Linked DNA regions of Lytechinus pictus. Each later gene encodes a partner of the first gene's protein in a complex. Links are inferred from orthologs where the notes say so. Each region holds a gene or a part of one and is shown in the gene's direction. Other genes may lie near its edges.

The links. Proteins that work in one complex are often made in the same cells at the same time.
Region 2: nuclear pore complex protein Nup205-like (region 1) and nuclear pore complex protein Nup153-like share a complex: the UniProt entries of both Drosophila melanogaster proteins name them as parts of the nuclear pore complex. The link is inferred for Lytechinus pictus from reciprocal best matches to the Drosophila melanogaster genes Nup205 and Nup153.
Region 3: nuclear pore complex protein Nup205-like (region 1) and nuclear pore complex protein Nup85-like share a complex: the UniProt entries of both Drosophila melanogaster proteins name them as parts of the nuclear pore complex. The link is inferred for Lytechinus pictus from reciprocal best matches to the Drosophila melanogaster genes Nup205 and Nup75.

What each region holds. Positions count from the first base shown.
Region 1 is NC_087263.1:7,644,059-7,654,607, forward strand, and holds the start of nuclear pore complex protein Nup205-like, read left to right. Parts: upstream 1-5,115; 5' UTR 5,116-5,173; coding exon 5,174-5,201; intron 5,202-9,106; coding exon 9,107-9,249; intron 9,250-10,549. UniProt on the Drosophila melanogaster protein: Plays a role in the nuclear pore complex (NPC) assembly and maintenance, but with limited role in NPC permeability. Required for specific nuclear import pathways such as Mad import.
Region 2 is NC_087261.1:28,249,901-28,260,449, reverse strand, and holds the start of nuclear pore complex protein Nup153-like, read left to right. Parts: upstream 1-4,303; 5' UTR 4,304-4,511; exon of another isoform or gene 4,512-4,688; intron 4,689-4,936; 5' UTR 4,937-5,067; coding exon 5,068-5,148; intron 5,149-10,549. UniProt on the Drosophila melanogaster protein: Component of the nuclear pore complex (NPC), a complex required for the trafficking across the nuclear envelope. Functions as a scaffolding element in the nuclear phase of the NPC.
Region 3 is NC_087254.1:31,795,909-31,806,457, reverse strand, and holds the start of nuclear pore complex protein Nup85-like, read left to right. Parts: upstream 1-4,307; 5' UTR 4,308-4,366; coding exon 4,367-4,399; intron 4,400-10,549. UniProt on the Drosophila melanogaster protein: Component of the nuclear pore complex (NPC) that seems to be required for NPC assembly and maintenance. Required for nuclear import of phosphorylated Mad via importin msk.

The sequences.
Region 1 (10,549 bases):
TTATTTTCTTGGATCAAGATTTCCATTTTGAACCATGCATTGATACTGATGATTATTATATAGATGTTGTCCAAGAACTTTTGCTATTTATTATCTTCTCTTATATGATGTTAGGGGAGAAACTAATCATTACGAGTGTTCAATTTAATTGTACGAAACTATAAATAAATGCCAACATAACAACTTTTAAAATCTCCCTTGTGTGTCCTAAGCATGTCTTTGGCTTGTGCAGGGTCCCGTAACACAAAGGTTAGCGATTGATCGTACACTTCATTTTCACGATTGATTATACATTGTAGTCAATGGAATCAATCTTAGAAAAATGCGCTATGATCGTTGCTAAGTTTTGTATTACGGGCCCCAGATGTCTACTTTCCAAACGTCAAGCCAGACGAGACGTGTCGAAGTTAAACTTCAACAAATGCAAATATTGGGCGTTGACGTATTTTTCCCCCTCCCCTCTATTCGCCATTTCTCTGTCCTTATCCCCCCATATCGACTATACCCCTGTCATTAACTCACCCCCCCCCCATCTTCCTTGCATCCATACTTGATCTCGGAATTACGTACTTCCATGGAGGTTGGTTACCATGGAGGTTGTCATGGAAACACCCTTAACCCAATAGGTTAAAGATGCAGACCTGGGTCTTGTTATACATGCTGCCGGTCTGGGAGCAGCGAAGGTTTTTTCTTTGTTCCTTTTCCCCCTTCTTTTTTTATCCAATATTTACAAAGATAAATTACCACTTGGTCTACACTCGTCCTGTCTACCTTCCGTTAGGTCTCATCTTACATAGTCTAATCGTAATTCGTTTTCAACCAGATCGTCTTCTAATCATTTTACATTAATTGCTATTTACAATTTAATTTCGTTGCCAGTTTAGCGGTAATACATGAAGGCCTATGTAGGCCTGCCTTATAATTATGTTGCCACATATCCGCTTGGTCGTACACCACCTCAATAACTCAATTCAATTCAAGGTTTACTAAAAACATGAGTCGCAGCCAAATTGCTGAATTGGTCATGTATACAAAGTACAAACAATTAAAAGACTCATTACATAATTATAAAAAAGAAGTAACCTTTGTAAAAACTGACATAAGAAATATGGATGTAATTAATAAGGCAAGAATACTTAGGCAATGAAAATGAATATACATAAGATAATGAGGAAGTGGTAAATCAAGAATAATAAAAACAAAATAAGCAAGTTGTAAAAGGTCTTTAAAATATATGAATATTAAATAAGTGTTGATTTCCTCATTTATCAAAATAATTGATATTGCAAGTATTCATACACACTTAAAATCTTGGGCAATATACTGTCCACTGTGTTGGGTAATGTATGTTGGTATATTCTGAGCAATTATTATCAAATTTAACAAATTTATTATCCAATTTGGGCAGATTTTAACCAATCATTTGTGGACAGTATGTTGCCCAGGGTTGATTAAAAGTTAAGCATTTTTTGCCTAACTATTTTAAGAGTGTATATGATATTGTTTTTAAATGAGTAATGGGTATACTGATTGGGCATGTCTTTATTCAGGAGTTGGGGCTACATGTATTTCGAAATCTATTAGGTATGAAAGAAAAATTCCTTTAATTGCAAAATAATAGAAGAAGTAAAAATAAGACCACGTGAAATTCTGAACTTTGTATATCACCCGAATTGATCAATTTTAAATGTTTTTCATTTGTGTGAATCGTTTAATTTTTAGCATGGCGTAGCCTAGATCAAAAGCTTCGGTCTCTGTTATGTTGGTTGTTCAGCTGAACTCCTTTGGCTTCACTCACCAAATACAGAGACCGAAGTTCTAGCGCGATCTGTACAGGGGACTCAATGACCATATGTTTATGTGTATTAAGTTCGGATAAAACAGGGCAGTGAAGTTGCGCGACAGCCGAGGTAAGTCACTGTTTTTGTTCCTTTTAACTTGATTTTCCCCGTTTTGGGGCAATTAATGCCAAGAGGGAATATTAATTTGCATTTCGGTCGCGTTAATTTTCAAAAGTTTGATTCATTAAAGACAAAAAATTGAAGAGCCCCGACGGGGGGATTTTGCATTGTAAGTCCCCTAACGGTGGCTGCACGATAGCGAGCCGTCTTGTGTATGAGGAGAATTAAAATAAAAAATAATAATAAAAACAATGAAAATTAGACAGGATATGATTCCCCCCCCCCCCCATTATTCATTTAATTATGCCTATTGGAACGCCAGTACCCAATCTGAAGTTAAAAGTTAAAAAACGACGAAGCGCCACTGAACTAGAAATATTTCTAGTTCAGTGCGAATAGTCCGGGTTATAACTGAGCAAGGTGCCACTTGGAGAAGGAGAAATTTTCATATAGTGCCTCTAGACCAGTTTTTTACGCTGAATATGAATATATGAGGTAAACAGGCTGTATCCTGAAAATTAACCTGTGAGGGCGCTTTTTTCAAAATGGCCGCCATATTTTCTGAGAATTTGAATTTTCGTACATAGATTTTGACATAAGCATTCAATTGCCATAAAATTAGTGTCATATGAAAGCCAAATAAATTCCCTACAATTTGGTACTATTTATAGGGGATAAGTTGGTCATTTGGTTGAGATTTTAAGTAGAAAACTGCATTTTTTGTATTTTTTTCCCAAAAATTAAAAATTTTACAAATACATGATTTTACATAATTCTATGAAAAATTTATTAATTACCTTGAAATGTTCCTGAAAACTTTATTGATATACTATTATCATGTGGATGAAATTACAACTCTGTATCATTCTTTTTAGCAAATTTATAAGGTATCAAACTTGAATACTTCAATTTCAGAAATGTCGCTTTTTGTATGCATTTCCATAGATTAATACGTATAACATGTATAATACATGTATGTATAATACATGTATGTATAATGTATAGTTAAAACTTAAATGCTATTATCTCCACTAGTTAATCACTTGCAGAGTCAGGAGTAGGCTTTTCTCTATCAGCTACATAAAACATTTTCAGGGGGTGGGGGTGTCGAAGTCCTCCCCCCCCCCCCCCCCCCCCGTTGCTATATCATGTTGTTGTATATTGCCTATTTGTTAGAAAACTAACTGTTTTTTGGAGCACCCATTGAGGCAAAAGGCAATTCTTTATAGGTAGCTGATAGAGCAATTAAAGCATATTCTGTCCTCCTTAATTGGTTTCAAGGCAGTAAAAGTGGCAGAACTATATATCAGAGTTGCCTTTTTACCTCAATGGGGGCTCAAAAATTGTGAATTTTCCAATAAATAGGCAATAATGCAAAGGGGGAGGGGGTGATTTCGACAGACCCCAGAAGGGGGTAGGCTTTTATTTGCCAGCACATCTTTATAGCTGATAAAGCAAAGCCCATTCTTTCCTCTCTTAGCGGTTTCAAGGCAATAAAAGTGGCAAAACTATATATCAGAGACGCCTTTTTGCTTCAATGGGGGCTCCAAAATGGTGAATTTTCAACAAGTAGCCAAATACCAAAAATTAGTGGGGTAACTTTTACAGCCGCCTGAATGAGATAGGCTTCAATTTGCCAACACTTCTTTATATGGAGCTAATAGAGCAAAGCCTACTCTTTGCTCTCCAAGTCATTGCAAGAAAATATAATTTGCTGTACTATAATAGTAGAAACGCCCTTTTGCTTTAATGAGTGATCCAAAATTGTGAATGTCCAATAGATAGTCAAATACCGAAAATTGGTGAGGTAAATTCTACAGCCCCCGAACATTCTGAAGGGGATAGCTAGGCTTTGATTTGCCAACACTTCTTTACAGCTGATAGAGCAAAGCCTACTCTTTCTTCTCTGAGTCATTGCAAGAAAATAAAATTGGCTGTACTATATAGTAGAAACGCGCTTTTGCCTCAATGGGTGATCCAAAATGGTGAAATATCCAATATAATAGGCAATATACATGATATAGAGGAGGGGGGGGGGTTGACTTAGACAGCCCCTGAGAGGGCTAGGGTTCGACGTGCCAGCGCTTATTAATATGTAGCTGGTAAACTCTACTCTACCCTACTCTTTCCTCTCTAAGTGGTCTCAAATCAATAAAATAGGGTGTACAACAAAGCACAAACGCTTTTTGGCCTCAATGTTGTGAATTTTCAAATAAATTGGCAATATTAAGCAAAAGCTCCCCCTCCCCGAGAGGGGTAGGCTTCGATGTGCCACTTCTTTAGATTTAGCTGGTAGAAAAAAGTCTATTCTTTTCCTCGCCAAGTGGTTTCAAAGCAATTAAAGTGGATGTACTGTATAACAGAAATGCCTTTTGCCTCAATGGGTGCTCCAAAAAACCTTATTTTACTAACAAATAGGCAATATACAACAACATGATATAGCAACGGGGGGGGGGGGGGGAGGACTTCGACACCCCACCCCCTGAAAATGTTAGGCTTCGATGTGCCAAAATTTTGTTTTATGTAGCTGATAGAGAATTAAAGCCTTCTCTTAACTCTGCAAGTGATTAACTAGTGGAGATAATTGCATTTAAGTTTTAACTATACATCATACATACATGTATCATACATGTTATACGTATTAATCTATGGAAATGCAAACAAAAAGCGACATTTCTGAAATTGAAGTATTCAAGTTTGATACCTTATAAATTTGCTAAAAAGAATGATACAGAGTTGTAATTTCATCCACATGATAATAGTATATCAATAAAGTTTTCAGGAACATTTCAAGGTAATTAATAAATTTTTCATAGAATTATGTAAAATCATGTATTTGTAAAATTTTCAATTTTTGGGAAAAAAATACAAAAAATGCAGTTTTCTACTTAAAATCTCAGCCAAATGACCTACTTATCCCCTATAAATAGTACCAAATTGTAGGGAATTTATTTGGCTTTCATATGACACTAATTTTATGGCAATTGAATGCTTATGTCAAAATCTATGTACGAAAATTCGAATTCTCAGAAAATATGGCGGCCATTTTGAAAAAAGCGCCCTCACAGGTTAATTTTCAGGATACAGCCTGTTTACCTCATATATTCATATTCAGCGTAAAAAACTGGTCTAGAGGCACTATATGAAAATTTCTCCTTCTCCAAGTGGCACCTTGCTCAGTTATAACCCGGACTAGAAGCGCAAAAGAAAAATGTATTAACCCTAACATGACGTTAGATGGCGCTCTAACCGTCTGCTAGAAATCGGTCAAAATGGCAGAACGCATGGCGGTTAATTTGGGTAAGATTCAAACTCCTACTTTTGTGAAAATTGTATTTTCCTTGGTTCCATAACCCTTGAAATAAACTGATTCATTATGTTCAATGTTGATAGTATGCGTGCTAAGGTGAATCCAGATGATTATTTGCAGTAGATCTATAAGATTTATATCCATTTCCAGGGGGTTATTTGACTGAGTTCAGCGAGTTCGTTTCTTTTCACCGCCGACGCTCTGGCGATGTTGAGTGTCCAGTCTCGGTGGGTGCGATCTCAGGCGCGCGGCTTGCGGCTCCTGAAATGAATCGGGTAAAAATGCCAATTCGTCTACTGCTAACTAACAAATTCAATTTTTACTGGATTTAGACGCTAATTGTGAAATGGGAAATACCATAGCCATGGCATAGGCTAAAGTAAGGGTAATATTTTTGATGTTTGCACTTTGTTTTAAAAAAACAAAAATTAATTTAAAACAAAAAGTCAATAAAAAAAAAATGAAAAATCTGATTTAACGTTAGAATTTTAAAAAATCCGATTTAGACTAGTCTAAGTCTAGAGTAAAGTGCCCAAATACTGGGGCCCGTTTCTCAACACCTGGACAAGTTACTTGTCATATCTTTGACTCTATCCACCATTCACCAACCACGGTGATAGTTCCAATCTTACTAAACCTGTTTCTCGAAAGGCTTCCTAACTAGCAGTAGAGGCGCACGGCCAATATCATATGGGAGACTCTCCCCAATAGGGGAGACAATCTCCCACATTGGAGACTTGCTTTGCAAAAGGACAAAAGAAACAACACCAACAAAAGCATGATTTTTTCCACCCAAAATTTTGTCTCACCGAGGTCAGAAGCCCATTCGTTTTGTGTGTGATTGACAACAAAAATCCTTTATCAAAACAAAAGTAGACGGTGAATATTTAAAGTAGACTTTGAAAAGGGGTAATTTTTCATGAGGAATCTGCTTATCACATTTTTATTTGCCGCCAAAGTAATCCTTTTGCAGCAAATGTAAACAAAGGAAATTGGACTCCAAAACTGGAGACTGTCTCTGAAATTGGATACCCAAATTCTTTACAAAAGTCTCTGATATTGGAGATAATCTCCCACATTGGAGACAGTCTCCAATATTGGCCGTGCGCCTCTACTGACTAGAATACCTTGATATCGATACTATCGCCTTCGGTAAAAAGAGCAGACGAGACGTAGCCTTAGTCACAAACTAGCATAATTTTCAAAAAGAAAAATTATGACAAAATTGCAAATATTGTGATGAATTAGGAAATGCATCTTTTCAAAATAATAGCACATGTAAATTATGCATCATACATACTTAGACCATGAAGATTAGAGCATTCAATTGCTGAGAAAATTAAATTATGAATAAATCATTTCATGACTAGAAAATCACATGTGGACGTTGAGATGGGTACCCACGGGACATCGAATTTTAATAGTTTGCGAAAGTAAACCATAACGGTTTTCTTTGTAAAATGATGACAATTTATACGCCCTTCTACGATTCCAAACATCATCAAAATATAGTTTAACAAAAAACAAAAATAAATCTTTGAAACTGAAACATACGATTTGACAAATTCTATGCATAAATTAGAGATAGAATTTATCCAAATGTTAATAGGGGTTTGAAAACGACAAATACGAGTCCAGTTATGGATGGCCTGACGTAGAATCTTTATCGATTAAGTCATTTTACTATTTCAAACTGAATGGTTTTGTGGCGTTTTACCAACAGTTTTTATAGTTTCTTTCTATTAGAATTATCATTGAATGCATTATCCCACTTGTTTTGTGATGTAATTTCAACCTCTATGATTGATTACGTAAGATTGTTATTTTCAAATATCTAGGCACTTTTGCTTGTCATAGTCTATCCATGTGATGCCACTACGTCATTAAGAAAGAAGTTATGACAGGTTCGGAGGTGTCATAAATATTTAGTAAGGTTGTTGTACCCGATCTTGGTAAAGAGGGCTTCGTGAAACGGTTAGCGGACAAGTAGCTGAGCACTATCTCCGAGTTAGACTTATGACGGTGTTGAGAAACGGGCCCCTGGACACTTAAGCATAATTGGACCCGAACAAAAATACAATCATTGTCATTGAATCGTATAATTATAAAATTAAAAATCATGTTTATTTCCGTAGAAGTACAAACATGACAAATGTTGAATATTAGTGTCATAAAATTAATAGAAAAAAAAATTAGCAGGGTGCGACATAGACCAAAAGCTTCGGTCTCTGTTAGCGTTATGTTGGCTGTTCCGCTGAACTCTGTTTGCTCCACTCACCAAATACAGAGACAAGTTTTAGCTCGATCTGTACAGGAACTCAATGGCCATATGTTTATGTATTTTACTATTAAGTTAGGCTAAAACAGGGAAGTGAAGTTGCGCGACAGCCGAAGTAAGTCAATGTCTTTTCCCCGTTTTGGTGCATTTTAGGCCAAAACGGAATAATCTTTATTTTTGGTACAGTTCTTTTTATATATACATGTATTTATGAAATAAAGACAAAAATCGATGAGCCCCGTCGGGGGGATTTTGCATTGTTAACCCCCTAATGGTGGCTGCACGATAGCGAGCCGTCTGTGTACGAGGAGAAATAAAAAAGTTTAAAATGTAAAAAAAAATCCTCGAAAAAGACGGCTGCCAGCTGTCTAGGTGCTACATAGCTTTTTATTCTAGAAGCACTTGCCCAGTCGGGCAAGTAGATTTTTAAATAGTTGTAATATACTTGCCCAAAAATCTATTTCACTTGCCCGAAAAATCATTAAAAAATGTTTTACCTCTCCAAAAGAAGGTTTTGCAGTTGTTAAACCATTGACCCTTTTCTCTCTTGACATGAAGTTGAACTGATGGTCTACTTTGTTATTGCATTTCTTTTTCCAAAATGATTTTATCTTGCCTGCCATGACCAAAATTAGGGTCAATATTTCAAATCAACCCTAATTTTGGTCATTCTACTGTGAGAATTTTGTTTGCCCAATTCGGGCAAGTAGTTTTGATCTTTACTTCAAAACACTTGCCCGACTCTAACTGTAACTTGCCCTGGGCAATCGGGCAAGTGCTTATGTAGCACCCTGAAATAGAATAGAAAAATAATGGTAAATGGAAATTATTTACTTAGAGGAAAGTGCCCAAATATTGGACACTTTTAAAAAGCATAATTGGACCAAAACAAAAATACAATCATTGAATCATATAGACCCGTTATAAAAGTCCATTTTTGATGCACGTGTACACGGCATGTTTTTCGGTCGTGTACACATAAACACAAACAGCCAGCTATGTTAGGTTTGATAACTTGCATCTCAGAATTTCCACCAATAATTCATGATCTGATGATTACAAATACAATTTTTTTCAACTTGATTTTTCTTTCATATAAGCAAATATAAGGTGTAAAAAAAATGACTGTAGATTGCTTTGATATCGTAAATGCCAATATCGATCACTTGAAAGTTTGTGCAGGAGATCGGAGATGACACAGAGATGTTGTTTTTCTCTCCCCCCCCCCCTTTCTCCGTCTCTCCCTTGATTTAGCGCGTATCAGGTAAATTAAGCGTAATTTATACAGGAAATCTGCATAAAACATGGACTCAAACGTGGGTTTTCAAAACCATCTTTGTGAATTTGGGCTGCAGTGTTTTGATTGTCTGGCTGAGTAAATGTCTCATCAACCAATCTCTAGATATTGGAGCAAGACATGGCCTCAGCACCGCCAACATAGACAAGAGTTATTTAACTTTCAATTTTTTGCTTGGGTTGACTTGATGTTTAATGCTTGTTTGATTTTTCTCTTTTCATTAAACTTTTGCTTGGATTTCCCTTTAATTAAGGAAGGATTGAAGTGGGGTAGTCATATCAGAGTTCCATTTTTTCATTGAATCTCTATTTGTTTTACAGGCTCCAGGATATGGGGTCCATACAAGGAGCTCTACCATACGGTCTCCCTCATCGTCTCCAAGAGATGCCCGGATCCTTACCAGGAGCTTGATGCTATCATCAGAAAACACAAACCAGACTTTGTCGCCCTTCTTAAGAATCCAGTAAGTCATTAGTACATTAACTTCAAGTCCACCCAAACACAATGTGGGTTTAAATAAAAAGAGGAAAAAGATATGAGCATTAAACAGTGAAAACTTTTTGAAATTAGATGTAAAATAAGAAAGTTATGCCATTTTACATTTTCGCTTTATTTTTTACAAAACGGTTATGCATATATGCACAACACAGTTTTGTGAAATTAAGCAAAAATTTAAAATGGCTTAACTTTCTTATACTACATCCAATATTAATGTAACTCACTGTTTTCTACTTTGACTCCTCTTTTCATTCAAATCAACTTTATGCTGGAGAACCAACCCTTTTGTGACTTAAGTCACCTAAATGTGATTGAGCGCACGCTTGCTGCTGTTACCAATATTATTTTTCGTAATATTACAATGAAAATCATTCCCTCCGAAAAATAACAATACCCCTATTTAAAGTTTAGTATCGTCTGAAGAGTATGTTCACTGATCATTTGAATGAATTTGAATACAATCTTGTACTCACTCTGCTCTTGTAGTGTATGTGAAATTTCAGTATCCGAACTCTTGTATCGCTAGTCGACCTTCGACAAGTCTAATTATCACCTATATCACTGAAGCAACTAATCACCTAACTCATGGAAGCAATATCTTGTCAACTGTGTTCAGTCAAACAGATTTCTGTTGTTGTAATGATTTCTTTGTGAGTCTGCCCATGATCTACGATTACATCTTTAAAAACTCTGCAAACTATGAAATTATTTTTCAAAAGTTATATCATTCTCCCCAATCGGTTCTGTGACATTTGTCGGTGACAATTGTAGGGACAGTGATTTTCCGCGATCGCGGAAAACGGACGGAATTCACGGAATCGGCCTTTTGAAACGGAAAGTGGCTTTTCAAACGGAAAATCACAGAAAACATGATTTTTCCCAAAATGCACAAAATAGCAACAGAAATTAATCCCAAATCCTCACCAAAATACGAATATCAACTGAAAAAAACACAATCTCACTTTGCAACAACAATCATGACAATCAACACATCGTAACTACACTCGAGCCCCTCCATCACTCGATTGTATCTAAATTAGTTTACACTCACGTCCGCATATAAGGCAGAATACGGCCGTGTGTTGCTGCCCTCTGCGTTCGGTCATAATATAATGATCACGGTGATTCAACAAATCCAAAATGGCGGATAGGCAGAAGTCGTCGACTGCTCAAAACGATGTCCGAAAAGTCCCCAAATCAGCGATAAAATCCCATTTAACCATAAAATAATGCGAATAATATGAAAGGTGAGAATGTATTCATGT
Region 2 (10,549 bases), on another chromosome or scaffold:
CTCATTTGCATACCGGCCAGGATGTACATATAACTGTTTTGTGAAATTAAGCAAAACTTTAAACAGTCATAACTTTCTCATTTTACATCCGATTTTGATGAAATTTTCAGTGTTATGCTTGTTGGATTTGTCTCTTTTTATTCAAATCAACTAATGGTTGGGGTGGACTTGTCCTTTAAGTTTGACCATGTTGACCCAGACCTAGACAGCTGGCAGCCGTCTGTTTCGAGAAGTTTTTTAAACATTTTTATCTTTTGTTAATTTCTCCTCGTACACAGATGGCTCGCTAAAGTGCAGCCACCATTAGGGGGTTAACAATGCGAGAAATCTCCCCGACGGGGCTCATCGATTTTTGTCTTTATTTCATAAAAATATAGAAAAAGAATTGTACCAAAATAAAGATTATTATTCCGTTTTGGCCTGAAATGCACTAATACGGGGAATAAACTTAAAAGGGGAAAAAACAGTGACTTACTTTGGCTGTTACGCTACTTTACTTCCGTTTTATCCGAACTTAATATATAAACATATGGCCATTGAGTCCCTGTACTATGTAGTACAGATCGAGCTAGAACTTCGGTCTCTTTATTTGGTGAGTTGGAGCCAACGGAGTTCAGCGGAACAACCAACATAACAGAGACTGAAGCTTTTGGTCTAAGACTCTAACCCAGACCAAGTTATCTAAATTCTGGCTAGAATTATATTCATCCAAATGCTGCTTGATTTGACTGACCAATCAAGAGGATTTAATTAATTCTCACAGTCCAGAGTCTACTGTATACCCAGTTGTTGCACTCGTTCATTGAACAAGGTTATGATATACCGGTAACCTTGTTCTCAGTTACATCTCCATGTGTGGCAAAATAAGGTTGACAATATTTGGCTTATTTTCCCTTTTTATTTTGGACAAATGCTTGATTTTTTTACACTGTCAGTTTCCATTACAGCTTTTCATTTTATAATTTGGATCTTAAGTAAATTTGATTTTTTTAATTATTTTTTTCTTTATTAAAAAATAGAGCTTGAAAAATGAAAATTTTCTTGCCATATTACTTTCCACCAATAGAGGGCGTACACAAAAATATGCCAAAAATTCAAGTATTTTAACACTCTGGGGCACGTTTCTCAATACCGTCATAAGTCTAACTTCTTGACTAAATCGGAGATAGTGAGCTACTTGTCCGCTAACCGTTTCACGAAGCCCTCTTTACCAAGATCGGGTACAACAACCTCACTAAATATTTATGACACCTCCGAACCTGTCTTAACTTCTTTCTTAATGATGTAGTGGCATCACGTGGGTAGACTATGACATGCGAAAGTGCCTAGAAATTTTAAAATTATAATCTTACGTAATCAATCATAGAGGTTGAAATTACATCACAAAACAAGTGGGTTAATGCATTCAATGATAATTGTAATATGTAAAGAAACTATAAAAACTGTTGGTAAACGCCACAAAACCATTCATTTTGAAATAGTAAAATGATTTAATCGATAAAGGTCAGGCCATCCATAACTGAACTCGTATTTGTTGTTTTCAGACCCCTATAACAGTTGGATGAATTCTATCTCTAATTTATGCATATAATTTGTCCAATATCGTATCTTCCGGTATCAATGATTAAAAATGTTTCGTTAAACTATATTTTGATGACGTTTGGAATCGTAAAAGTCTGTATAATTATCATCATTTTACAGAGAAAACCGTTATGGTTTACTTTCGTAAACTATTAAAATTGGGTCTCCCGGGGGTACCCATCTCAACGTCCACAAGTGATTTTTAAGTCATGAAATGAATTATTCATAATTTGATTTTCTCAGCAATTGAATGATCCAGTCTTCATGGTCTAAGTATGTATGATGCATAATTCACCTGTGCTATTATTTTCAAAAGATTTATTTCCCAATTCATCATAATATTTGCAATTTTTGTCACAATTTTTCTTTTTGAAAATTATGCTATTTTGTGACTAAGGCTACGTCTCATCTGCTCTTTTTACCGATAGTATCGATATCAAGGTATTCTAGTTAGGAAGCCTTTCGAGAAACAGGTTTAGTAAGATTGGAACTAACTCCGTGGTTGGTGGATAAAGATATGACTAACTTGTCCATGTGTTGAGAAACGGGCCCCTGGTCAACACAAAAATTATTCTAAGTTACTAATGAAAATTGAATTGCAACTGTATATAAATTAATATAATTTTGGTCACAAAAGTGATATTTTAATGATTTTTTAAAGTGTGTGCTCTATACAGCATTGGCATACCCTCTCTCTCTCTCTCTGTTTTGATCCTCCGCTCTTCGGAGATTAGCGATAAATCGCGGTCAGTCCTACCATAGTCCTACCTGTAGATTCCCCACAGGCAGGATGGTAGCAGTGAGCCAGTGAGTGGTTGTGTGTCCGGACAGGTTGTGTGTCCGGACGATCAATTTTAGAAAGTCATTTGGAAAAATGTACAAGCGAAGTTTCATCAATTTTTTTTACAAAATGTACGGAAATATTGTAGAGAACAAAATAGAAGATGATTACAACAATTGAATTCATGTTTTTAGTGTAATCCCAAGACAAAAAAGAAGGCTTCAAAAATATAAGTGTCCGGACACCCGACCCCCATCCTACAGTAAATACAAAGTACAACTACAAGATGAAAATGAATGATACAATAGATGAATGTTTGATTCAAGTAATAAACAGGAAAATAATTGTTAAATAACACAACAAGTCAACAGTGACTGTCGGTGACATACATTCAAAAGAACTTAAAGGGGAATCCAACCCAAATAAAAACTTGTATTTATAAGGAAAAGAAAAATCAGACAAGTTGAAAGGTGAAAGTTTGAACAATATTGGACAAACAACAAGAAAGTTATGAATTTTTAAAAGTCATAAATATTGGTAATCACTATACCCATGGAGACTTCAAATTGGCCGCATATGGGAAGTCATAGTGATGTAAGGCAAGGACTACTCTTCCATGTACTCCAATACATATTATGGCTAAAATGTCATTTTCCCCAAAAGTTTTATTTCAAATTATATTTTTCTTTCATGAGGACATAAAACGATATACTACTTGGGTTATATTTAGATTACTGCCCCAGGGGAATAGGGACTTAGGAGAAAACCACAAATCCCTGATAATAAAGTACCTGGCCAATGGGAAAGTTGTCCTTGCCCCTTGTCATAATTTACTTACTCAGTTGCCAATTTGAAATCTACATAGTATTAGTGATCTCAATTTTAAAGCAGCTATAACTTTCTTATCGCTTGTCCGATTTCTTTCAAACTTTCACCATTCTGTTTAATTTATTTTTCTCCTTCTCAACACAACATTTTATAGCCAAGGCTGGATTCCCCTTTAAGCTAAGGCTAAGCCTAGGCTATAAAAAATAGACCCTAAATCATTAATTTTTTTGGTTCTACTTTGAGTTTTCAATACCAAGTGTTTTTGCACTTCTGTCATTCTTGCAATTGCAGCCGGTGATCATTAAAAAAATCTTGCCACAGCCTCAGCCTATGTGTATGTCTAACGTTATGTTATGTAAATAATGTATGACGAGTATGTACTATGACTATGAGTATGAACCTCAGCAGTAGAGGCACACAGCCAATATGGGCACTCATTCAATGAACAAGGTTATGATATATGGGAGACTATCTACGACTCTAGATAATCTCCCATCATGCCCATAGCTTCTTTTCTTCTTCTTCTGTTGATTTCCTCCAGTCCTGGAGAACTGCGAGATCCAGTGGATACGCAGAAAAAATAGCATAGCCAGAGTCTTGCTTTGCAAAACAAAAGAATCAACACTGACAACAGTCAACACCAACAAAAGTGTAATTTTTTCCACCCAAAATTTTGTCTCACTGAGGTCAGAAGCCCATTTGTTTTGTGTGTGGATGACAACAAAAATCCTTATCAAAACAAAAGTAGACAGTGATTTTTTAAAGTAGACAGTGAAAAGGGGGTAATTTTTCATGAGGAATCTGCTTAATATTTATCAGTAACACTAACACATTTTTATTTGCCGCCAAGGTAAACTTTACTTTAGACTTTTAGTTTAAGTTTAACTTAAAGTTTAAGTTTAGTTTTTGAGGCAAATGTACACAAAGGAAATTGGTCTCCCAAACTGGAGATTGTCTCTGAAATTGGATACCCAAATTCTTTACAAAAGTCTCTGATATTTGAGATAATCTCTTCTCATGCCAGTCATAGGAGACAGTTTCCCATATTGGCCGTGCGCCTCTACTGCTCAGCCTCAGTGACTGACATGACACTGTCACTGACACTCCAGTCACACTCACACTCACAGAAGTCAGAAAAACACTCAGCTCAGCTAGCGGCTCCGAGTCCGACTGGTAGCTGCTGGCCTAATACTATTCTAGAGACTCCTCAGTTCAACTCACTCAAGAACTGGATCTCTCGTCAGGAAGAGGAAGAGCTAATCTAGATTCAACAAGAGCTTGAACGTTAATCTGTCTTGCAGCGGCAGCTACAGGCCAGGAGGTCGGTCAGCTTCAGCGGCGGTATACAGCCAGTGCGCCGGGCAGCGATGGGGTACCGTAGTAGTACGCTGCAGATCCGATACGTTCATTCATTCACCAACGTCTCGCCTATACGTAGACCTACGTAACATGCACGAGCACTGCACTGCACGCGCGCGCGCTAACATTTCAAAATGGCGAAATAAAAAAGTACCCTCTAAAATAATTTGTTTATAAATGAGTTTTAAATTAACTTTTTGAAAAATTAAAAAATTATTTAAAAGTAATTCAATAATAATTTTAAACTAATCGATGCATCCAGCTTAATTTCGATTCGATTTGACTCCTAAAAATCGACGTTTACCGAGTGACAAAAGACATGTAATATAAAAGGGGAAAAGTGCAGAAAATCACGTGACATTTAACCAATCAACTTCTTTGAAAAAGGCCGCCATCTTGACTCATCTACTGTGAAATTCAATGGAAACACTACGAGCTATTTCTTAATTTCGAAGATTATCAACTTATTCTAACCCTTGTGAAGGTTGCTGTGGCGGTCAGTTCATATTCAACTAGCCATGGCAACCCCGTCTGGTGGTAAATTTCGCCCGAAACGATCTCACTACTCGCGTAAACCATACGAACGTCCAAAACCGAAGGTGAGTATGAATGATCACACACGCGCAGTCGTGCCAAACTGCCATTGCTAACCGTATTGAAAATACATGTCGATCCGACGTGCATGACGTACATGCACGTACATGTAGAAACCAATGTGTCCATGCGATGTGTGCCGCTGCGTGTGTGTAATGTATGTGAATGAATGGACAGGTTGATTTTCAAATTAAGTTAAAGAAAATGAGGGGTGTTGATAGATAAGCTTACTTTTGTCCTTTTTTTATTTGACCTACCGTACATGATGATGTAAGGACCAGTGAATCTGTTCGAGAATGATTGAGAAATTTTTTTCCAAAAAAAGACCAAATTGTCAAAAAAAACTATGGGATACAACTTAATTTCCAACATTTCTACGCTATCGATTTCATTTTTAAACAAGAATTCATCAAAAAAATGAGCAAAATATTATGAAAAGATGGACGAGACTCGCCCGATGTTTACGCCGCCATCTAATGTTTTTCCCAACTGTTACGGACTGCGTCGGTGTGCGGCCGTTCGGCAGGCTCAGCAATACACCACTGAAATCACCAACACACTCTAGACATTTACACTACACATTCACTAACTCTCACACTACAAAATCATCCTGCTACTTGGGCAAAATCTCAAATAAAAAGTGAAATTTTCTTACCTAAATCACCATATCTCGCGTCAAAATATCACCATCGGTACTTCTTAACTAATCGTCAGTAGAGGCGCACGGCCAATATTGGAGACTGTCTCCAATGTGGGAGATTATCTCCAATATCCAGTAGAGGCGCATGGCCAATATTGGAGACTGTCTCCAATGTGGGAGATTATCTCCAATATCAGAGACTTTTGTAAAGAATTTGGGTATCCAATTTCAGAGACAGTCTCCAGTTTTGGAGTCCAATTTCCTTTGTTTACATTTGCTGCAAAAGGATTACCTTGGCGGCAAATAAAAATGTGATAAGCAGATTCCTCATGAAAAATTACCCCTTTTCACCGTCTGCTTTAAAAATTCACCGTCTACTTTTATTTTGATAAGGAATTTTGTTGTCAATCACACACAAAACAAATGGGCTTCTGACCTCAGTGAGACAAAATTTTGGATGGAAAAAATCATACTTTTGTTGGTGTTGTTTCTTTTGTCCTTTTGCAAAGCAAGTCTCCAATGTGGGAGATTGTCTCCCCTATTGGAGAGAGTCTCCCATATTGGCCGTGCGCCTCTACTGATATCAGAGACTTTTGTAAAGAATTTGGGTATCCAATTTCAGAGACAGTCTCCAGTTTTGGAGACCAATTTCCTTTGTTTACATTTGCTGCAAAAGGATTACCTTGGCGACAAATTAAAATGTGATAAGCAGATTCCTCATGAAAAATTACCCCTTTTCACCGTCTACTCTTGTTTTGATAAGGATTTTTGTTGTAAATCACACACAAAACAAATGGGCTTCTGACCTCAGTGTAGTGTAGCTTAGTCGGTTAGAGCGCCTGTTCCGGAAAAGATCGTAGATCTCAACGTGCGTGGGTTCGAGTCCCGCAGCATGCCGGAAGACGTCTAACAAAAAAACTGATGCTAGCGTTGTGTGTTAACGTGCCTCACCGCTGTGTTCAGTGCGGGTGTGAATGCAGTTGGAAAACACTCCGTCCATCGGAAAGGACGCAAATGTTGGTCCCGTGTATAGGAGAGTCACAACCTATGCACGTTAAAACCAATACTAGGGTGGACAAATTGAAATCCTAAAATTTTTATTTGAACGTCTTCACATTTTTATTTACAATGACATGAAAGAGAAAACAAAATCAAAGCAAACATACCAACTCCCAGTTCCAAAGGTTTCCAAAAAGTGAAGATATTAAGTGTCAAACTATGGCCTTTGTGAGACCAGAAAGGGACAGAGATAACCGATTCAGCCCCCTAACTTCCCCGAAGCTAGTTGTCACGTAAAATGGTCGATGAATAGCTAGTTTCGAACGACCTCCTTAAATTAATATTCAATTTTAAATTTGCCGCTGCAGCCCGGCTCGTAGTCTGTGGTAGCTTGTGCACGAGACGTTATTTACGAAAAATGCATTCTAAAAAGTAAAACTCTCCCCATAAATAGAAATTTACGATTTTCTTTAAAAATAAACGTTGATTCATATTTCATACCTATAAATGATGATCATTTGACATATTCGACTTCTAGATCATGTTTTTGGTGGAAGTTATTTCCATCTTTTCTTCTCCGTCAGAACTCCGAACGTAGTCACGGTCTTGCCATGCCCAGCGCACCCGGTACTGATGCACTGCGTATACGGTACTAGACCGGCCGCAGCTAGCTAGCTTCCCAGGCATAAATGCACAGTCATGACATGCCGTTGCCAATTTTAAGATATATTATAATTTACGTTTTTAAATGTTGTTTTATTTTTGTTTGTTTGTTTACGATCATGTCTAATTATGTAAATATTGTGTGTGATTTCCTGTAATTAAAAACATAGGCCTTATTAAAAAAAAAAAAAAAAAAAAATATATATATATATTTAAACGTAATAATAGTACTCACCTAAACTAAAAACACCTCACATGTGCCTGTGATGCACCCCGGCCATTGTCTGTACCAATCTATTTCTATGATTATTTTTTCGAAATTACCGAAGAACACGAAAATATGTACGTCCATAAATATTTCTTTTAGGTATGGAATATTATTACAACGAGCAAATGTTGTTACCAGACTTAGAAAAAATTCAGAAGTGGTAAATATTGTCCCATAAATGCATTTTTTTTTTAATACGAGGTTTAGAGGAGCGTATCTGTGAAGATCCATGGTGAAAAAGGCAGGACAAGCTGAAACTTGTTTTCATGAAACTTGTTTTCATTGTCGATTAAAGTTAGAAAGTTAATTTATTAATGGGGGTGACTTGAACACATCGGTAAAAGTATCAGTAGAAACAAACATAATTTACCTCTATATCATAAACATTAATTTTACCTCTAAATCATAAACATCCATAACAATATAGCACTGTATCAAACATATCAATTATTTCAGTTTTATGCTTAGAATAATCTTTTATGTTTGAGTGGAATTTCCCCATTTACAAGTTCAAGTTACTCTGTGCCCTTTGGTTCATGTCATGAAACCCGTTCTTATTTTCATTTCATTCATCAAATCAAATACGATACGGTGCAGTGCAACACGTGCAACAATGCCTGCTGTGGCGTATTGCAAAGATATCAATGTCTTTATGACATTAAAGGCATATTGTTTTGTTTATCATATCAACTGCAGCAGTTTTTGTCTCCACGAAGACATATATTTATTATTTTACTCCAACGAGGAAGCTGCCCAGGTGGAGTGGTGGAGCTGGTGCAAATTCATAACAGAGGATACGCCAAAATTTGCATACCTCTAGGTAACTATTTACACCCCCCCCCCCCCAAAAAAAAAAAAAAAAATAGAAAATAAAATAAAAAAAATGAGTCAAGCAGAGTAAAAGCAACAGTGGAAAATCTTTGATAAAGGCAAGTAGAAAAAGTAATAAAAACAGGTCTAAACAAATAACAATTATATCTATTTTTTTTTAGAGCTAAATTATAAAAATAACTTTTTAGTTTAAATAACAGTTTCATTGTATTATCAGCAATTTAATCCCAGATATTCCCCCCCCCCCTATCTCTCTCACGCTCTCTCATCCTCTCTGAATTTTATTTCTTCAAATAGAATGTTGAAGCCCATCGATCAAGCTTTGAATTTCTGCGTCAATCAGGGGAATTCCCTGTGTCTCTTGACAGGCTTGGGGTCGAACATGTGCCATTTGATCTCTCGCATGCGGTCTTTCCATTCAAGTTGTGGAAAATTCCATTCATAAATAATTTAGACTAATATCCAGTCTTTTATTTTTTTTCATTCGATTGATTTTCCTCACTTTACATGGCAGCGACTGTATTTCTCTTAATATTTTCAAAAAAAGGACTGTTTTTTAGACTAGACGTAAAAGTCAAGCGTCGCGCCACGCTACCGATTCATCAATATTCATGAGGAATCGTAACCACGTGATCGAAAAGATCGTCGGAAACGTGAATATTCAACAGCACTGGATGACGTCATTTTTAGTTTTTTGCTTGGGAATCCAAAACCCTGATAGGTATTGGCATGAAACCAACAGGAATAACACTAGAATACGATTTTCTAACGACCATATAATGTGCAGCTCAAAAAATGCACGGGATCATATTTTTTTTTAGTTTTTTCATCATTATTTCTGGATTGAGGGGGCGGGGCCTATGTACTTTTGACATCAGAATCTCTATCAAAAGTTCTTTCGCTGAAGTTAGCCCACATTTTTCATAGACTTACCAGTTGCCAATCCCAAGCAATTTAATGATCAAAATGTGGAAAAACACGGTCACTTCCGCATTGGTCTCGCCGTGCGTTTAGAGAGAAAACTCGGGAGGAATTGGGTACAAAATCCACTGAAATCTTCGGCATCGGCCAGTTTTTAGATAACGAACGATAATAGTAGGGACAAGTATAGTATTTGTGAGTATGAGTGTTGTTTTTATCTTGAAGATGTTAAGATTTATATTTTTAAAAGATTTTTTATTGTATTTATCGTGTTTTCATTTTGCATCAACATTGGCAAAGATACTTTGACATCGGGACCATTTCCGAGCTGCGGCTTCCTCGCAGGCAGTGTCGCGGGTTCCAGGATGCTCGTTGTCCTCCCTACCAATACACTATTCGTCAAAGAGTAGGGTGTTCACCCGGTGTATTGCACCTGCCGGTCCCCGGTACTACAATACTGCAACAATCTTCAGGATTGAAGGAGGCAGTGTAGCTTGAAGAAGAAGAAGAAGACAAAATTTTGGGTGGAAAAAATCATGCTTTTGTTGGTGTTGTTTCTTTTGTCCTTTTGCAAAGCAAGTCTCCAATTTGGGAGATTGTCTCCCCTATTGGAGAGAGTCTCCCATATTGGCCGTGCGCCTCTACTGATTGTAGTTAAAAAACAATGGGTCCAAGAGAGTGGATTTTTCATGGTTTTCCTGATCATGCTGATGTTCATGGATTTTGGAAAGATGTCCTTGTGAAAAAATTGCACATTCGCGAGCCGATGTCAGCAGCCATTTTTTTCCGGAAGTCAATGCTATGATCGAAGAAATGATAAAAAACGTGAAAAATATGACAACACCACCTCAAAATGTAGTGCCCTAAGTGCGGCCGTTGCGTGTACGCTCGCGATTTTCTCATGCGTTTGCAATGGAACTGCGCACTTAGCAGCGTTCGCGCGCCGTTTAGAGGCGAATTGCAGCTGCCTCACCGAGCTCGCTTGAGCGCCATGGAAATTGTACATAGCACAGTGCACCGGAGACAGGGCGGCCGTAGCCAGGAGGCTCCTAGAGAGCAAAAATCATTTACTTACGTATTAGGC
Region 3 (10,549 bases), on another chromosome or scaffold:
CCGTTACGCTCACAGGTGCATTTTCCCTACAACCGTTTATTGAAATTGTTAAAAAAAAAGTTATTGTGTTTACAAGTTACAACTGAATGTAAAATTTGTCTGATAAATCCAGCGAGAAGAGCGAAAACTTCTGAAGTGTAATGCTTTGAAATACAAAATGTCATGTCCGCTACTCTGCAATTTCCCATATAATTATAAACAGGACAAGTAATGATGTGTGTAAAGAAGTGGCAGGGAAATCTACTATTTTAACTTTGAACAAGAAAACTGAACAGTTTGTTCAAATATAATGTCTCAATATGCAATAGTGGGCTTTAGTACTTTTGATTAATGATGAATTTTAGTGCAAATTCCTCTTCTAACAAATATACACTATCATTAAGGTTATTTTTAAGTAATTGCAATTCATGTTATAACGATAATGGAAATCGATTTTTGGTTTCCAATAGCTTCCGATACAAGACAATGTTTTTTAAAGACAGATTACTTCATACCAGACTGCACAGTGTCCTTATCATGCTAGTACATTCTTCTGTTGCCGATATGAAACTGAACATGAATGGAGATAATGAATCGCACCGCAAGAGTTTAATAACTGCTTGAATTGCTACCATAAACATAGAAATCGCTAACAGTTGATTGTAAACCTATATTAACGCCGGTTAACACTTAACTGAATGGTACATAATAATGGTAATTACATCCGGTTAGCGTTGCTTAGCTTTTTCACGGAAGAAGAAGAAGAATAGGGAGGGTGAAAAGATGATGATGATGATGACGATGATGATGATGATGATGATGATAATGATGATAATGGTGGTGGTGATGATGATGATGATGATAATGGTGATAATGATGATGATGATGGTGACGATGAACATGATTATGATGATGGTGATGATAATGATGGTGATGATGATGGTGATGATGGTGATGGTGATGATGATGATGGTGATGATGATGGTGATGATGGTGATGATGGTGATGATGGTGATGACGATGATGATGGGTGTGTATCAGCATCAGGGATGTGTCAAAATAAAGCCCACCCCCCAAAAAAAAAAGTGCTTTACATGACATTATCAATAAGAGGCACGGGTCGTAAGTCGCGTTATGCTATCACTTTTTGTGAGGACCGTTTTTGGCTATGCGTTTCTCGACTTATCTTTTGCAGTCGCATGGAGTACTGATATAAGGCGTCTATTTATAAATTGGGTTTGGAGGCCGCAATCATCTAGTACTTCCAAAGCCCGGGGTTCCAAAGACACAAATGTCATTTCAGAGTAGGATAACCAACAAAAATGTGTGAGCAAATAGGTTTAAGCTTTATATATATATATATATATATATATATATATATATATATATATATTATATATAATGACTGTATACGAAACTGCAGTTACTGAAAAGTGCTCAACCACATGTGATGTACATATAGAAGCTTCATGTAGTATAGTAATAGGGTGGAGCGAGTTGCTTAGATTTTAGTTGTATAGACTGTTTCCCCCCGAGGGTTCACCAGCTGATGAACCCTCGGGGGGAAACAGTCTGTACAACTAAAATCTAAGCAACTCGCTCCACCCTATTACTATACTATATATATATATATATATATATATATATATGTAAAGTTATACATGTACAACATGTATATATATATATATATATATATATGTGTGTGTGTGTGTGTGTGTGTGTGTAGGGGTGTGTGTGTGTGTGTGTGTGAATGTAAGAACAATGGAAAACTCGGTTGTGCCCCACCCCCCACCCCTGAGGAGAGATTTCCGCCCTTGTGATCTATACAATTAAGTAGTGTTTTCTTTATTCCCTCATTTCCACGTTTATATTCTACAAATTAATGTGTTGTAATTATTCTGTAATTGATTTGTACTTGATTTGTATTTGTATTTGCTTATGCAGGCCTATATGTGATGTATATTTGATTTGTATTTGTCTATGATACCGTTGAACTAGATATGAGAATGGGGAGAATTTAGATAATCCCGACCTTTCGTTGGAGAACGCGAACGCTTATTTATGACGGTAGTTGATTTTGGAAGAGACTTTTAGGCCCGTCGTCATGGTCGTAAAACTCTGTCCTGCAATGCAAATTGTGTGACATGAGATTTTTTTACGTTTCGCATCTGCAACGGAAACATTCAATATGCGTTTCGTGTGCAAAATTATGGTTGCTTCTATGGTAACAGCGATATATCCGATTTAGGACGACTTTCCAGAGCCACATTTGGCTCCTCCCAGAGCTCGAGAGGCCGCCTGGGGGGCCCACTTCCATTGCCGAGTGGATACCAGGCGCAACCACGCGTAAAAGGGGACAGAGTGGGCAAGTACGTTACGTACTAGTATATAGGCCTTTGTAACGTTATAAGGGTGTCAATGTTTAAAAAAGTGATATATTTCCAATACTTGTAGGGTTTCACAAGCCAAATACTTAAGAGATGCATTTTCATAATCTGGAAAAACCTTGCTTCGATCCTTGTTTAGGTTGCTTTTCGAAACCGCATGGTCGTGCCTGGTATCCATTCATCAATGGAAGTGGTCCCCATTTGAATCTAATCCCCCATTTCTGGGGAAAGTAAAACATAATTACATTGCATTGTGTGCTAGAGGCATATTGTTTGTGTAGGGGAGTAAACAAAAGAAAAAACCCGCAATTTCGGCTGGTATTCAGAGGTATATATGCTATGTAGATATCAAATCATGCGAAATGGTTTCAGCTGGAGAGGTCATCTGACCCATGGAATCAATTGCCAGTGATCCACCAATAATCCACATTAAATACAATATCGATTCGATGGACTGTAATGATCTATATTATCTAAGCCTTAATTCAGTAAGTTTTTCCTCACTCAATATGTACTCGATTTGTTTGAAAAAACACTTTTTTATCCAAGTCATAATCTATTGTGGGCCCTGCCCCGGGCCCTGCATTTCGAATATCTCCAGCCAGCTGTCATAGCTAGTAGAGGTTCGCCGCCGGCTCAGGGGGCATATACGATGATGACCAGACGTACACATGCATGAAAACGGGTGTCGCGTGAAAGAGTTTGCACACGAAAAGCAGATCTATATAGGGCCTGTATCACAAAGCTTAGCAATGAATGTAGAACAGTTTTATATGATTGATTCCATTGATTATAATGTACAATTACTCGTGAAAATCGAATGTACGATTAGGGGACCCTAATCTTACCGTCCCTGAGGTTTGCGAAAGGTGGCTATTATGACAAAACGACGAGTTGCTGAGACACAGGGTTCGAGCAACCATCTGTGCTTGAGGTGGTTTAATTGAAGAAAAAAAATCAATCTCTCGATCGAGGCTCGACATTCCCGGGGTCGAACGGATCGAACCCTAGCCTCTTGTCGAGGCCCTGGCGGCTGCTTCCCGAGCGAATTAGGATATCCCTCGCTTCGCTCGGGAAGCAGCCGCCAGGGCCTCGACAAGAGGCTAATCGAACCCTCAACACGAATGCATTCAGTTAATGTATATATGGATTGATATATAGTATATATATGTGTGTATATATATATATATAATATATATAAATACATGTATTCAATTCCCCCCCCCCCCCCAAACTCACCCAAAATCACTTTCCATCCTACAAGGGCTCGTCTCCCAAAGTAGGTAGGATTTAAAGGCGTCTTGTCTCCGGGAAAGATCGAGACTTCACAGACGTTGATGTTCACATCAACGGGACAGACGTATCCCCATACTCCGGTACGGGTGTAGGATTGGATATGTGATTTTCCTCATTTCCTTTCTCTGTCATCTCCATCCTAGGTTCACTTGCATACTAGTAGGCCTATACATCTAACATATTTTGAGTAAAAGCCCTGGTTTTAATTTTTTGAGACACACCTACTCGACTTTATATCCTCGATACCCTAAAAATAAAAAAATAATTAAAAAAAATAAATAGAAAAGAAAAAGAAGAGAAAAAGAAAGAAAAAAAAAATATTTGAATTTTACTTTATATAATTTTTTTTTTCAAAGAAAACAACGTGAATAATGCAATATTTATGATGGCGAAAATAGTCAAATTCATGGTTGCCAAATAAAAAGAAAAAGAAGAACCCCCCCCCCCCCGAACCTTCGGCCACCCCGCGCCGACCAGCGCCATCCAGTAATCGATTAGTCTGCTGTGCAAACCCTTCACTAGAGTTAAGGGTCTGAATTGCAGCCTATTTATGCCTCGTTTACTGAAACAGCAAGTTTTGTATGTGCTAGTCTTTGCGTGGAGACATACTTGTTGATCAAAATTTCAATCAGGGTCTGTGCCTGCAGACTAGTAATCGATAGCCGGCGATCGACGTTCGCGTTCAGCGATTTTAAAGGAACAAAATGGCGGCGTACGAGCGGGAAATTCCATTTTTGGTACGTATTTTTAACGTTATTATGGTACGTTATCTATTTTTGTGGTAATCAGTAATTATTTGTTTGTTCGCTTTATATCTTAGGTCAACTGAAAATGTTTTATTTCGAGATTTTCAGTCAAAATCCGTGATGGAATTTGTTTGTTGGGTTTTATCTTCATAACCGTTACAAATAAATTAACATGTGGGACTGTCTGAGTAGGACCTGTCTCGAAGTCGAACTCTGGCTCTGAAACTGATCTGATATGCCAACCAGCGGGAGCGGCGCGGTGGAGCTTCCCTTCACTGCTTCAGCATGTTCAGACCTAGACAGCTGGCAGCCGTCTGTTTCGAGGAGTTTTTTAACATTTTTTATTTTTTTAATTTCTCCTCATACACAGACTGCTCGCTATCGTGCAGCCACCATTAGCAGATTAGGGCCGGGACTTACAATGCAAAATCCCCCCGTCGGGGCTCTTTATTTTTTGTCTTAAAAAGTTTAATGAATCAAACTTTTGAAAATTAACGCGACCGAAATGCAAATTAATATTCCCTCTTGGCATCGATTGCCAAAAAAACGAGGAAAATCAAGTTAAAAGGAACAAAAACAGTGACTTACCTCGGCTGTCGCGCAACTTCACTGCCCTGTTTTATCCAAACTTAATACACATAAACATATGCCACATATGGCCATTGAGTCCCCTGTAGGATGCACTCCTAGTACCAATGAGGTCCAACATTACATGTATGGACCTCATAGGCGACATCAGTAGTATTTTTGGTTAGAAATCTCTGAGAACAGGATATTTATACATTATATCACAAGTACAAGCTATATTCCTTTCTCTTATTTAAATTATAATTTTATAGTGTAAATGCATCGTTAGCAACAACAAAAAATGAAAGAAATGAAGGGGAACTTACATTTTCACGGCTTTTTCCTGATTTTCTGGGCAGCTGCTCTTCTCTTCTGACTCGCGATCGAAGCTGATATGAAGATCACGTGATTCGCGTTCTCGTCAGCTGATCGGTTGGTTATTCTTTTCGTCAGACGTTAATAATATATATTTTATAATGCTAGCATTCATCCCTAATTTAGGTGAAAGAGATTGAAGTTAAACAGCGCCAGGTCGGAATCATAATTATTTTGGAAGAGTGTATTTGTACACTCGATCTCATACCTGACGTAGACGGCGCTATTCAACAAATGCACAATCTTCAATATAAAAAATAAAACAGAAAGAACGCCTTGAACACAGGCCAAAATGCCTAACGATTTCTCCGCGGCATTAACAACTATCGTAAAGGGCGCTCCATTTATCAATAAAGATGGATGCTAAGCTGTCTATGGCGACAAAATTTGCCGCAAATATTTACGAAGAATTGTGAGAAATGGTCTGAAAATGCAACAAAAGAACCGGTGAGTACCGATTAAACATTATTAAAGTTGTAAATAGATTATACATACCTTGTAGATTTAGTTTTTAAGGTGATATTAGTGCTTAGTTCTAAGCTAGGGAGGCCCAAACGCGCGTGAGTGGAGTCCCAGTTTATTAGCACGGGTAAGTATTGGGGTGTCGCCTAGAGTGGTAGGATGGGGGGTCGGGTGTCCGGACACTTTATATTTTGAGGCCTTCTTTTTTGTCTTTGGATTGCACTAAAAATATGAATTCGATAGTTGTAATCATCTTCTATTAGGGTGTCTGGAGAAAAATATTATTTTTCTTATTTCAAGAAAATATCACATTTTCTTTGTGAATTTGAAGAGAAATGACCTTCAGACTGACAGAAATGTAACATTTTTGAAAAAAATCCGATTATTGGCTGCAAAAAAGAAGAATGAAATTAGGTCAATTTTCAGCATTTCTCTGCCATAGACTGTGTAGTTAAGAAATGGACACACACAAATCCAAATTTTTAGCTTCCGAGAGCTGTTATAAATTTATTATTAATGCCAAAAACTTGTCCATAAAGAGTCGAATAGGATTTTTTATGCTCTTTCTGATGGTATGATTTTTATAAAGATTTGGAAACCAGGGGCCCGTTTCTCAACACATGGACAAGTTAGTCATATCTTTATCCACCAACCACGGAGTTAGTACCAATCTTACTAAACCTGTTTCTCGAAAGGCTTCCTAACTAGAATACCTTGATATCGATAATATCGGTAAAAAGAGCAGACGAGACGTAGCCTTAGTCACAAAATAGCATAATTTTCAAATAGAAAATTATTACAAAATTGCAAATATTATGATGAATTGGGAAATAAATCTTTTCAAAATAATAGCACAGGTGAATTATGCATCATACATACTTAGACCATGAAGACTGGAGCATTCAATTGCAGAGAAAATTAGATTATGAATAATTCATTTCATGACTAAAAAATCACTTGTGGACGTTGAGATGGGTACCCCCGGGAGACCCAATTTTAATTGTTTACGAAAGTAAACCATAACGGTTTTCTTTGTAAAATGATGATAATTATACGGACTTTAACGATTCCAAACGTCATCAAAATATAGTTTAACGAATCATTTTTAATCATTGATACCGAAAGATACGATATTGGACAAATTATATGCATAAATTAGAGATAGAATTCATCCAACTGTTAAGAGGGGTCTGAAAACAACAAATACGAGTTCAGTTATGGATGGCCTGACGTGGTAAAATCTTTATCGATTAAATCATTTTGCTATTTCAAAATTAATGGTTTTGTGGCGTTTACCAACAGTTTTTATAGTTTCTTTGTTTTACAATTATCATTGAATGCATTAACCCACTTGTTTTGTGATGTAATTTCAACCTCTATGATTGATTATGTAAGATTATAATTTTAAAATTTCTAGGCACTTTCGCATGTCATAGTCTACCCACGTGATGCCACTACGTCATTAAGAAAGAAGTTAAGACAGGTTCGGAGGTGTCATAAATATTTAGTGAGGTTGTTGTACCCGATCTTGGTAAAGAGGGCTTCGTGAAACGGTTAGCGGACAAGTAGCTCACTATCTCCGATTTAGTCAAGAAGTTAGACTTATGACGGTGTTGAGAAACGGGCCCCAGATCACAATGAAAAATTGCGACAAAGTGAAAAAAATTGTGCAAAACAGAAATTTAATTTTCCCATAGAAAATGCATGGGGAAATGGCAATCTCAACACACACAAAAATAAGGGTTTGCAATTTATCTCTAAATCCTTATTTAAAATGATCATATAAACTTGTCCTTACTGTCAAAAGAAGCCCCTGAATTTTCTCTTTCCATACATGCCAAACACAAGTTAATAATCAATTCAGATCACATTTTTCTAGTAGCCTGAACTTCCCAAAAAAAATGTGCCATATTTTCCTCTAAATCAGCCTCTCTTATGCTGACACTTTTCAGTGTGGCTTCAGACACCCTACTTCTATTTTGTTCTCTATTATATTTCCTAACATTTTGTAATAAAAATTGATGAAACTTCACTTGTAATTTTTTCCAAATGACTTTCTAAATTGATCGTCCGGACACACAACCTGTCCGGACACACAACAACTGGGTATACAGATCGCGCTAGAACTTCGGTCTCTGTATTTGGTGAGTGAAGCCAACGGAGTTCAGCTGAATAACCAACATAACAGAGACCGAAGCTTTTGGTCTACTTCAGACCTAGCCAGGCGGCTTTCTAGAGAGTAAAAATCATTTACTAACGTAAGGTTACTCTCATACGAAGCCAGGCCTTCTATCTCATAGACCCACACAAAGGAAGTCAAAACCTGAAACTTTCACCCCCGAGATTTCTACTTTCCTTCTAAAAGATCTACGAGCGTCGCGTAACGTTGGGGAATTACAATAACTGAATAAGAAACAAGATACTAAATAGGTTCATTATTGCGGATTGAAATAATCGCTAGAGGGTATTCATTTGTCTCGCAATCTACTATGGTCAACAAGGAAATTCGTGATCACTCTCGCAAAAAGTGTTCACTGGCTTTCTAGGAAATTCGTGATCACTCTCGCAAAAAGTGTTCACTAGCTTACAAGTTCACGAGCTTTCGAGTGCCGCTGCAACTCTTTATCAAGTGACGAAAATTATCTGATGACGTATTCTATTTATACTAATCTCCGGGACCGTACGCACGAACACGAGAACAATAGGTGGGCATTGATCCGTTGCGTCGGATGCGGTACGGCCGGTAATCCGTGTATGCAAATAAGCCGGGGGTATATGCAAATACGCCGGGGGTATATGCAAATACGCCGTGGGTCGGCAATATGCAAATTAGACAAAATTGGCGGGCTCGCTAGTTTCCCGTGGGCGGGGGCTGACTAGCTGAGCGGTCCCTCGTTCGGGGCCGGGAACGATCGGGTCGGCGTGCACTGCCAGGTAAGGCATGCCACCCTCGGGTGTGGAAGAGATACGTCGATGACACTTTCATAATCGTAAATAGATCCGAAACAGACAGCCTACTCTCATACATGAATAGCCAGCAACCGTCCATCCAGTTCACTCTGGAGACTGAGCAAGGAGGGAAATTAGCATTCCTTGACACGCTAGTCCAAAGACACGAGGGCGGGAAACTTTCCACCTCTGTCTACCGCAAGCCCACTCATACAGACCAATACATACCATATGATTCTCATCACGACAAATCGGTCAAGAAGGGTCTCGTTAAATGCCTGTTCGACAGAGCAGCACGTATCATAACTCACCCACCTGAACTCCCGAAAGAAATAGCACACATACGTGGCGCCTTGTACAGCAACGGCTACCCACGCCGTTTTATCAAGAACACTTTCAAGAAAAAACAACCACCAAGGGATCAGAAGGTTTTCAAGACTTGCACAGTCTTGCCATACATAGATGGCCTCTCACAACAACTTAAACGCCGATTAGAAGGTCACGGTATCCGAACGGTTTTCCGCTCGGACACCACCTTACGCAAACAGCTTGTACACCCCAAAGACCCTGTCCCTGACCACAGACGTGATGGCGTAGTATACAACATTCCTTGCCAGGGATGTGACGGGTCTTACATCGGAGAAACAGCCCGACCGATAGTTGAACGCATTTCTGAACACAAGCGCGATGTTCGGTTACAGCGAACCGACACATCTGCGGTGGCAGAACATGCTTGGGAGAAGCAACACCACCCAGATTGGGAGGGTGTACAATGCATTGCCAAAGAGAGACATTGGTATACACGCAGGATTAAGGAGGCTATTAGTATACGTCTTTGTCCTAACAACTTCAACAGAGACAGCGGGATCGACATCCCCGACTTCTGGATGCGAACCATCCGACAGCACAATACCCCCTTACCTGGCAGTGCACGCCGACCCGATCGTTCCCGGCCCCGAACGAGGGACCGCTCAGCTAGTCAGCCCCCGCCCACGGGAAACTAGCGAGCCCGCCAATTTTGTCTAATTTGCATATTGCCGACCCACGGCGTATTTGCATATACCCCCGGCTTATTTGCATACACGGATTACCGGCCGTACCGCATCCGACGCAACGGATCAATGCCCACCTATTGTTCTCGCGTTCGTGCGTACGGTCCCGGAGATTAGTATAAATAGAATACGTCCTCAGATAATTTTCGTCACTTGATAAAGAGTTGCAGCGGCACTCGAAAGCTCGTGAACTTGTAAGCTAGTGAACACTTTTTGCGAGAGTGATCACGAATTTCCTAGAAAGCCAGTGAACACTTTTTGCGAGAGTGATCACGAATTTCCTTGTTGACCATAGTAGATTGCGAGACAAATGAATACCCTCTAGCGATTAAGAAACAAGATGGCGGCGTAAACATCGGGCAAGTCTCTTCCGTCTTTTCACAATATTTTTTCATTTTTTTGGTGAATTCTTGTTTTAAAAATAACAACGAGAGCGTAGAAATGTCGGAAATGAAGTTTTATCCCATGTACATGATTTAGAGCTAGGCCTACATCTTTTAGAAGGAAAGTAGAAATCTCGGGGGTGAAAGTTTCAGGTTTTGACTTCCTTTGTGTGGGTCTATGAGATAGAAGGCCTGGCTTCGTATGAGAGTAACCTTACGTTAGTAAATGATTTTTACTCTCTAGAAGCCGCCTGGCTATTCAGACCGGCTGGTACGGCACTGGTACTGTAAGCTGGTCGGGGGGGGGGGGGATGGGTCAGGATGACCAGATTTCTCAAAAGGAAATATGGGAC